Drosophila melanogaster: one gene and its partner. The protein of the gene in region 2 purifies or fractionates together with the protein of the main gene of each other region. This does not show direct contact. Each region holds a gene or a part of one and is shown on either strand. Other genes may lie near its edges.

What was found. The genes of interacting proteins can lie anywhere in the genome.
Region 1: the proteins of apt (region 2) and bru1 purify together in Drosophila melanogaster (affinity purification with western blotting, with the first as the bait; one study listed by BioGRID). This does not show direct contact.

Annotation. Positions count from the first base shown.
Region 1 is NT_033779.5:12,204,132-12,208,842, reverse strand, and holds the start of bru1 (bruno 1), read right to left. Parts: upstream 3,001-4,711; 5' UTR 2,713-3,000; intron 1,135-2,712; exon of another isoform or gene 628-1,134; coding exon of another isoform or gene 1-627. Other genes in the region: CG31759 (uncharacterized protein), read right to left, coding at 1-627.
Region 2 is NT_033778.4:23,595,061-23,600,225, forward strand, and holds apt (apontic), read left to right. Parts: upstream 1-1,531; 5' UTR 1,532-1,687; coding exon 1,688-1,738; intron 1,739-1,831; coding exon 1,832-1,937; intron 1,938-1,999; coding exon 2,000-2,260; intron 2,261-2,323; coding exon 2,324-2,570; intron 2,571-2,632; coding exon 2,633-3,467; 3' UTR 3,468-4,466; downstream 4,467-5,165. Other genes in the region: CG42560 (uncharacterized protein), read right to left, coding at 4,488-4,634, 4,697-4,760, 4,820-4,890; CG42559 (uncharacterized protein), read right to left, coding at 4,998-5,165.

The sequences.
Region 1 (4,711 bases), on a different chromosome or scaffold from region 2:
AGAGTTGGTTATCTTCTCCACCACAGGACCCGTCATTCCCAGTGCATTACCCGGCGTCACCACGAACTTCAAATGGTAACCAATATCCTCAGGAGTCACTAGATATTGAAATCCTTCTCCGCACACCTCCCAATCGGTGTCTGTGGGCTTTTTGGCCTTGAACCAAACTGCTTTGCTGAACTGACGTTCTCCGAATTGTATCTGAACATTGGTGGGGTATATTACAAATCCTGCCAATATGCATGAGGGCAAAAATTTTAGGGATGAAATCCACGGTGGATTGAACACCAAATCGTAGACCGTATCTAATACCTGCAGTTTTACATTGCTGATATCTTGGGTGACGACTAGATCCTCAAATGTTAATTCATTGAATTTTTCACCATATTTGTCACTCAGAAGTTTAACATTGATTTCTGCCGGCGGTTTGATTTTTGATTTTTTGCAGGACTTTGCAAGCCTGCCAATAATATTACTCTGAATCCTGGCCAATATCGCATCAATGGGCTCATTCATCTGGCGACGGAAATTGAATTCCCGGTTTATTTTCAAATTCTCATTCACAAAGCGAAACACAATGTCCAATTCTTTGGTATCACTTGCATTTCTCAAATAAACCTTCTCCATTTTACCAGCCAAGGAAGTGCCACAAAATCTGGACAATAGCGAAACTCTAGTTGGAGTTTTATTTCCGAATAATTTATCAGAATTGCGAACTATGTTTTTAAACAAAAAAAACCCCATCAATGTTGCAAATGTTGGAGCGAAGATCGGCGTTGAAGAAGAGAACTTCTCTTAGTTGACTTGTTTTTCGCCGTTTTATCTGGGAAAATTTTGGGTTAGACAACTTTACTTGGTGCACCGATGTCGTAACAACTCACTTGTCCAGATTTAGTTGCAAAATTAATCACATTTAAGTTGTTTTACACCTATTTACAATCGGCAAACAGTCGTGTTGCACGAAAACACCGCAGAAATTAGGCGAAACTGCGCCGATTTCGATAAAAACGAAGAGAGATTTTTACTTTTTCGCTCTGCCACGCCGCGCGATCAGCTGTTGTTTTTGGCATTCACAACGAAACCAACCACATGCTCGGCATTGAGAAACAGCTGATCTTGAGAGAGCTTCTGCCATTAGCAACGTTGAAGCTTTGACGCAAAAGCTTTTAATAAAAGCTTTATTTAATTTCAAATCTTGAAAGCAAAAAGATTTCACTTAAATATTACTTTTTTTCATAAAATTATAAAGCTGATAAATATATGAAGAGTTGCTATGATCTGAAATTGAACATATCGAAGAATAGAAGATTTTTTCTATGAAATAGAAAAAAAATTTCTATATAGGAAACGTTTATTCCTTTTTTGTGGTCATTAGGAGGAACATTATTATTCGCAAAATATACACCCGAACAAAACTATAAAACCTCCTATTTCACTTCAGTTGAAAACTATTTTCACGGCAAACGTCGTAAACATTAAGCTAAGTGTTACGATCCAAATGAGACATCTTGCCCCAACGAAGGAAACTCAACTTTCGGCCAAGTTAAGAAAGGACAACTGAGACGACGGCCATAAAAATTCGAAACAGAAGCCAGATCATATGTGTAGAGCGTATTTGGCAAAGGGGTGGACCAAAGGTATGGAGCACACAAGTGCATAAAACGCCGAAACAAGCCAAGAGATGACTTGGCCAGGCCAAAAAGGAATTGGCTTGGCCCCGAAACAGAGTCAACAACTGTGCGCCACACAAGAGTTTGCCAAAAAGATTGCACTACGAAGGAGCAAATGAAAAAATAAAAATCAAAAACAAGAGAAAAATCGCATAGAACTCTATAAAGGACACAGAGGACCAAAAAGGACAACAACCTGACTGGCAGGGCAAACGAAACCAGTTGAAGAAATGTTGCTGACACCAAAAACGAAACTGCAGGAAGACGCCGATGATGAGGATGAGCCAGGGAATGAGGCTAAGCCCGAGGATGCAGAGAGCATCCTTGGGCCCGAGATGTGGAGCAGAGGCGGTAAGGACAACAACGAAATTAGTTAGCACTTGAGAGAAAGCAGCTTTGGCTCAGTTCCAGGACTCGTTGCTGGCTTACAACACCTGCGGGAAAAAGAAGAGGACTTTTAGCTGCTCCTTCTGTTCCCTACTCCTTTCCTATTGACCCGAACCAGAGATGGCCAAAAAGCTTCGATTAGACACAGTGGATGGAACAAGGACTAGAAACTAACTATAAGTCATTTAAGAGTTTTACATATTGAACATTTTTTAAGCAATATTATATACACTTTTCAAAAATTTACCAGCATTTATATTGAAATTAAGTATAGATGATTATATTCGATAGTATATTTCTGAGATATAAAGATTAAAATCCACCAAAAATCAGCAAAATAGTTAGCTCATCTTCGACAGAAGTGGTGAAAAGCAAGTTCTTGGAGGCAGGCGGCAGCAATTAAATAGCTTCGAGCACTCCGAACTCAATTGCAGCAATTTCAATAACCGTCGAGGACACTCAAAGGACGGCAAGGTCCTTGCGATAATCTGTCATGCAGCGTGGAAGCCCAAGCACCGTGTCGCACACACCCACTCACACACACACAGCACACAGGACGAGTTCACAGCACACCAACCCACTTTCCATTCACACTCAAGGACAACTAGAATATCCGCTTTTGGTCTGAACACTTGAAGAACTTTCTTGCACTCACCTATTTCACTTGCTGCGGGAATTTGCTATATTTCTTCTTATTTTCCTTTTTACACTTGTAGAATTTGTAGCCGAAAGCGGATAACTGGGCTATTTCATTTGTAGTCTTGTGGGGGTAAATACTTTGTATATTTTTTTGTAGATTTTCTTCTTAAGAATTATTGATAAAAGCATGGAAGAGTGACGCGGTACGGCCGAAAGGTTAACACATTGAGAATTTTGCCACCAATAAGCCGAAAAATTGATAAACTTTTATAAAATTATATGTACGTTACACAATCTGATTTGGAAACACTACAACTAAAAATCTATATTGAATCGATTTGACAAGCGTTAGCGCAGCCAACTGGGATGCAAAGCTCTCGCTGTTCATTTTTTATTTTTTATGAACTTTGCTAAAATAAAACTAAATTAAATTTAAAAAAAAGCAAATGAATTGGATACCATAATTGATTGCTATCACTGATTCATATCAGTCGTTCAGCTCACCAAGTCGAACGTTTGACATTAGCAATAAATGAATCAACAAATATAAAAGTTTTGCCAAGAAAGTAATTTGCTAAAATTGGCGAGTCGAGAAAGAAAGTCAAGAGGGTGAGTGGAAAAAAAACCGAAAGAAATTCAATGAGGCTGAAAATTTCCTGGCTCGATGCCAATTGAAGGCAAAGAAAGAAAACAAAACTCGAGTTTCTAATCAATTAAAAAATACAACGAGCGGCGGCAGGGGCAAATCAAGAGTAGAGGGTACGATTTTCGGCAATAAATAAATTACAACCAGCATGCAGTCAAAGCGATTAAATTGAAGGGGAGGCTTCCAGGACTATCTGATGCCGAAGAAAGTACAAAACTTCACTACGTCTGGTGCAATTTTAATTACGACTGCGATAGGAGCAGGTCGAAAGTAATGGCAAGGAGCAAAGACACCAGTCACGAGATACACAAACTCGTTGCGACTGCGAGAATACCCCGTATCTTATTGTGTTGTTTATAGAAAATGTAGGAAGCTACTTTTTGATGATTACATGGAGTCTTTCTTTCAAATTTGCATGAATATTTCGAAGAATATTTACATGAATTGTTTGAAATCATTGCTATATGGTTGTAGATTTAAAATTTCCAAAATAAATACTACTATAAACGTTAACAAATTTTATAAAGATTATGTTACTTATATATTATTATATTATATATTTTCTCCTCATATTTCAATTTCCAAAACCCTAATATGATAATATCCCTAATATCCTAATATATCCCTAACTTAAAACTTCTTTATAGTACCATTTACAAATGAATTAAATTTTAAATCGATTTCAAAAAGGCTTTTCTTGAAATGTCCTTTTGTCATTAATCAAAAAAAAATCTCTCAGTTGCAAATTTCTTTATCGTAAATGCAACATGATATTAAAAAAAATTAAAAATTAAAAAAAAAAATTGGTAACCCATATTTGATCCAAATTACTCCATGTGTAATATATCCTTAGCGCAACTTTTACAGGGTATAGCAGGGCGAAAGGCGCCGAGTCGACTAATCCTTTGGCAAAGTCTTTGACAGTTGTCTTAGATTGCACAACAACAAAGAGGAGAAACACAATAACATCTTCATTATTATCATTATCATTGTTTCCAGCACTGTGGGATGAAAAAGTACAATAAACGAATAAGTACAATAAATAAGCAAACGAAGAAACAACAAACATTATCGCACATCATTATCGTTGTCATTCAGAGAGCGTCGTTCCAGCTTAAAAAAGCCAGCCCAACAAATATATGTATATATATATATACCTATATATATTTGCTTTATTTTGGTGTTTAGTTAGTTTTTATGAGCGTCATTATTTTCGCTTGCCATGGCGCTAAGCATCTTAAGTGGCTCCTGCTCCCGCATTTCCCTCCTATTTTTTAGTGGAGCACTTTCCTCGTGTATTTGTTTTCATAGGCGCAAAATGTCTTCGTCAACTTTTGACGATTTTATAATTTAACTTTTGCCGGGAGAG
Region 2 (5,165 bases):
TCTTTCGGGCACAGAATTTCACAGTTGGCATCTTCGAACTTCATCTTTGACTAACTTGGCTGGAGCCCCACCCTGGCGAATAATTGGCACTCGCCTCGAATTTAAATGATTCTGGCATTCCTTGAATGCACTGACAGAAACTCTGGCATCTCATGGGCTTGAAAGTACGAGAACCTCCCATTGAAGAATCTATTGATTTCTCAAATCAGCATATCGTTTTCTCTGCGTGTATCTTCCCAAAAGGAGCGGTTTAACCACCCCGCAGCTCATGACTAAAATTTAAACAGCTCCATAATAGTCGGCCGTAATAATTAATTGTTTGCTAATAAATATGAGTTTATATATGTATATAGGAAGAGCTCAAATAATAAAAAATAATAAGCGCACGCGCCGCGTCTCCAATGACTAAGTCTCCTTTCAGTCTTCGAGTACGCGATAAATGCGAATGTACATATATACGTATGTATCTAGATACGTAGTTCGAGTGTACGAGGTACACATACGAGTGCCGAGTATAAGTATAAATTGTAAATCAGATACGGCATAAATATTGAACACATGGCGCAGTAGTTTATACACCCAAGAGTTGTGGGTGTTCGATGGCTGCAGGGGGGGTGGGGGTGGGGTAGTTGAGGGGCACGGAAGGAACTGAACAAAATTGAAATAAAATAAAGCACCATAAAACGTACTTAAGATTGACGATTGTGTTTTTTGGGGGAGCGATCAATGAAAGAGTTTCGATGAAGACAATATATGGCAAGTACAGTTGAGCTCTTTTTTGGATTTGGGCATTCGTGTTGTCTGCAAAGGGTTATTGATAATTCTATGCTCTTCCCAATTTAGTTAATATTCTTTTATTACTAAATTATGAGGGAATTTTTGTGTCTGATTTCGAGACGGGGGAACAATCGAAGGAGCCAGAAAGCGACCGAAGAACGCGTTGAGTAAATGCACATTCTGGAATATTTATATAGTACATTTGAATATATATGTACTTGATTAGATATAATTGGCTGTCAGTATGTCTCTTGATCGCTCCACTCAATCGCACCAATACTCGGATTCGGATACCGAGCAACCGCACAGATACATTTTCGAAACAAACAAAATGTCGGCAGCTGCTTGTTGTGTTAGCTTATAAATTAAAACGCGTTTCATGGCATTATTATTTGATGGTTTTTTACTTTTTTTTTTTTCGTCTTATGGCTGCTCAATTCATTCGATTGTTCGTATATTCACATTCTTTTTAGCCCATTCGTACCCATATACCCCCGATATCGCTCACACCTCCTTCCCCCCCTTCTCCGCTCGGTTCATCTGTCCGCCTGTCTGCTAATTGAAAATCAATTAATGTGACTGCATCCTATAGCTGCTCATGTCAAAGTCAGATATCATCCAGGGTAGGGTAAATTCGATGGAATAAGGGAATGAAAACAAGAGAAGGAATTCAAGACTCAACGACTCAGATTCAGAATCCGAATCAGAATCCTTTTGTTTTCACTGACCTTACTGTCTGAAAACAAAAACCCAATTGATGTGCCCCAAGTAACACTCTGATAATTACCGAAAAACTCCAAATTTTTCGATTGCTTTCGACTTTGGCAGTATTCATCGCCAAGTTCATTGGGTTTTCGAGTGCGTCCCGCGAATCGCTTTCGTTTGGTGCGGAATTTGGCACAAGTTTTGTATGCTCAACTACTGGGAAGGCCAATCTGGGGCTTCTAATTCCACTGTGCGGGTAATTTGGGGACTCTTGCCAGTTACTAGTTACCTCCCAATACGAATCACTGATTTCTCACCTCCTGCCACTCGCTTCTTGCTTCCGTTGCAGGTCAACAAACAGTATTCGGCCACCGATCTGGAGGCTTTTATGAAGATTGCCGCCAACTGGCAAAATTCCAATCACAACTTGCTGGAGGGCGTCGACATAAAGACGGGTAAGTTAAACAAAACGAAGTGACCGTTGAAGGAACTTAATTCAATCATCGAATGCTTGCAGAAATGACACAGTACATGAACAGTCCTTCCATGAACATGTACAAGAAGAGGGAACGCACCCAGAACTGGAACCACCAGGAGAAGAAATACCTACTCGATCTGTGTCGCAAGGACATGCGCATTATCGAGAACAAGAGATTGGATGCCGGTCTGACCGCCGTGAAGAACAAGGCATGGAAGATTATCCACCAGAAGTTCTCCAATCAGTTTGGCACCGATCGCACCTGCAATCGCCTGAAGGAACAGTGGCGTCGCATGAAGGGTAAGTCTTTATAAAATACATATATTTAATGGCAAAGCTAACCTTTTCGATCTCATCCTTTAGCATGTACTCGCAACGAGATCCTGGACTACAATAATCGCCTGGCCAGGTTTGGAGCAGAGGTGGCCGATCGCAAGAAGCCATCTCCGTTCACCTTCGAGGTGTGGGATTTCATGCAGGAGGCGAAGAAGGCATGCAAATCGGAGGCCCTGGATGGCATTGATTACTCTAAGATTCCACTGGCCTTGGAGGAGGGTTTTGAGTATCGTGAGGATTACAAATTCAATCCCGAAGACCACGACATGGATGAGTAAGTTGATCGCTATGTGGTAGTCTGAATAGATCTTTATTGAGCATTCTCTATTTGAGCAGCAGCCGCACACCGCCGCAGGAACTGTGCGATGTGGACATCAAGGAGGAGGAGAACAACGAGACCTTCAACGAGACCTTCAACCATCACCACCTCAACCAGAGCGACATCCTTGGCAGCGGCGAGCGTCTCAGTGTGTCGCCTAATCACAGCATCAGTCGCAACGGGATCCACGAGGCCGAGAGTCCCGCCACGATTTCCACATCTAATGTCCTGGACTCGAGCGGTGCCTATATGGCCGGAGGAGGTGACATGTCCGGCTTCCAGGCCAACTTCAACATGAACAACATATCCGCCACGCTGGAGGCACTGAATGCCCTCCGTTCTGGCCAATTTCCCAGTGCAGCAGCAGCGGCAGCGGCCGCCATTCACCAGCACCAGGCACAGGCCCAGGTCGCCATGCATCACCAGCACAATAACAACAACAACAATAACAACAACAACGAGGACGACGAGGACAGCATGAAGCCGCAGTCTAAGAGACAGCGCACCAGCAGTGGTAGCATGTTGGGCAGCGAGGATCAGGCACCAGTCCTGGCCCCATCAGTGCCAGCATCCTCGGACTCGCAGGCCCTAGAGCGGTCCGGCAGCAGCAATGGATTGACCATGCCGGGAACGGCAGTCAGCACCAATGCCAACAGCAGCAGCAGCAACAACAACAACTTTGAGCTGCGCATGTTCATGGAGATGCAGAGCAAGGAGCACATGATGCGCATGAAGATCCTGGAGGTGCAGTTGCAGGCGGCAAAGCACAGTCGCGACCTAGTGGAGATCAACAAGACACTGGCGCTGCAGAAGCTGCAGTTGGAGCTGGCCAGCAAGCGACTGCCCAGTTAGGAGGCAGTGCAGCAGCAAAAGGAGCAGCAGCAGCAACAGCAGCAGCAGCCCATCGCCGTTTCATGTTACATTAGTTTATAGAAATAAAGCCTGTCAACTCGGTCACGTTCGCAGGCAGAGAGCGTGATTGGGAATCGACTAGAGTTAGCACTAGAGTTAGTCTTAAGTTGAAAGCAGGATCCACAGCTACACATCCAGACCCGACACACAGAGAGACATTCCTGGCATTGTTGATCAGTATTTGAAAGCTAGAAGCGAAACCCGACACACAGAACCGAACCCAAGAACCCCAGCGAGGATCAGGAGGCGCTCGGAAGTATGCCATAATCTTATGATGATGATGACGATGATGATGATGAATCGCCTACCTCACAAGCACACACACACACACACACACAATATGCACACACTCAGCTAGCAGACACACACACACAGACACACTCTCTTCTGGCCTAACCAGCACTTGACCAAGTCAAGTCAAGTTTAGTTAGTTTCTAGTTTTAGTTCGTATGGGAACCACTCTCTCCAAGTTGCTCAACTACCACAAATGTATTGTACTTACGTTCTTGACCTCTGCTACCCCACAACTAACGATTTGAACGAACATGAAATGCACACAAGATTATTTTTCATAGTCCTAAGAGAAGAACCTTATATATGTCAATGCATCATACACAATCGGCAGTTGTCTCTGATTTTGATTCTTACTTGAACTTGTATTTATTTGTATCTTTGTATAGACTATGTTGATATATATATGACCCTATATATGTTTGTTTCAATGCCATATTACATGAAAGTTCTTTTTAATTCATATTTTCCGTTTGCGCTGCAAAACAAATTGTTACCATATATAATATATGATATGTATGTACCCTACGTATAAGCAGGCTTGAAGAAGGCCGCCAACTCGGCTTCAGTTGTCGTAGAAGACTTCTTTGTAAAGCGTGTAAATGAGAGATACAAATTATTTTAAATAAAATACAAAACAAAACAAGCAAATGTTTCAGCTACACTTTATTAATTTTGTTCATGGTTCATCTGTGAGCCTTCGGTCTTGGTTTTTTCCAACGATTGTATCTGCTTATCCACCTTGATGATCTTTGTTGTGACTTCGTTCTTCTGGCTGAGAATCTTTTCTCGCAACGACTTCAGCTGTTCCCGTTGCTGGGTAAATTTGCAATTAAATTTAAATAGATTACTTTCGTTTTTTGAGATCACAAACCAACCAGTTTAAGGAAATGTATGTTCTCCTCCGCCCTGGCTTTTTCGAACAAATGCTTGGATATGTTCCTGGATACAGAGATGCATCTAATAAGCGAAGCCATAAGTGCTCAGAACACGGAACTCACTTGTTGGATTGTGAAAACTGACACATCCTGGGTCGCAACAGTTGGAAAAGCTTTTCGACCAACTTCAGCATTGTATCCTTACGGAGGAAGATAATTTGGAATTTACTATAGTAACTGATGAGGTATTTCAAGGTGGAATATTGACAAACTTAAAAGTGATAGCCTACCGTTTGATAGGTCATTTTTCGAGACTCTTTTTGAATTGCTCCAACAAATCCTTCAGAGCTTTCAATTCCTTTAGCAGATTCTCCTTGTGTTTCCTTGATTTGTGGCTAGTTTTGGATTCCAAAATCTTGATCTCCTCTTTCAATTTGACGATATCATTGGCGATTTCTTTAACCCTGTT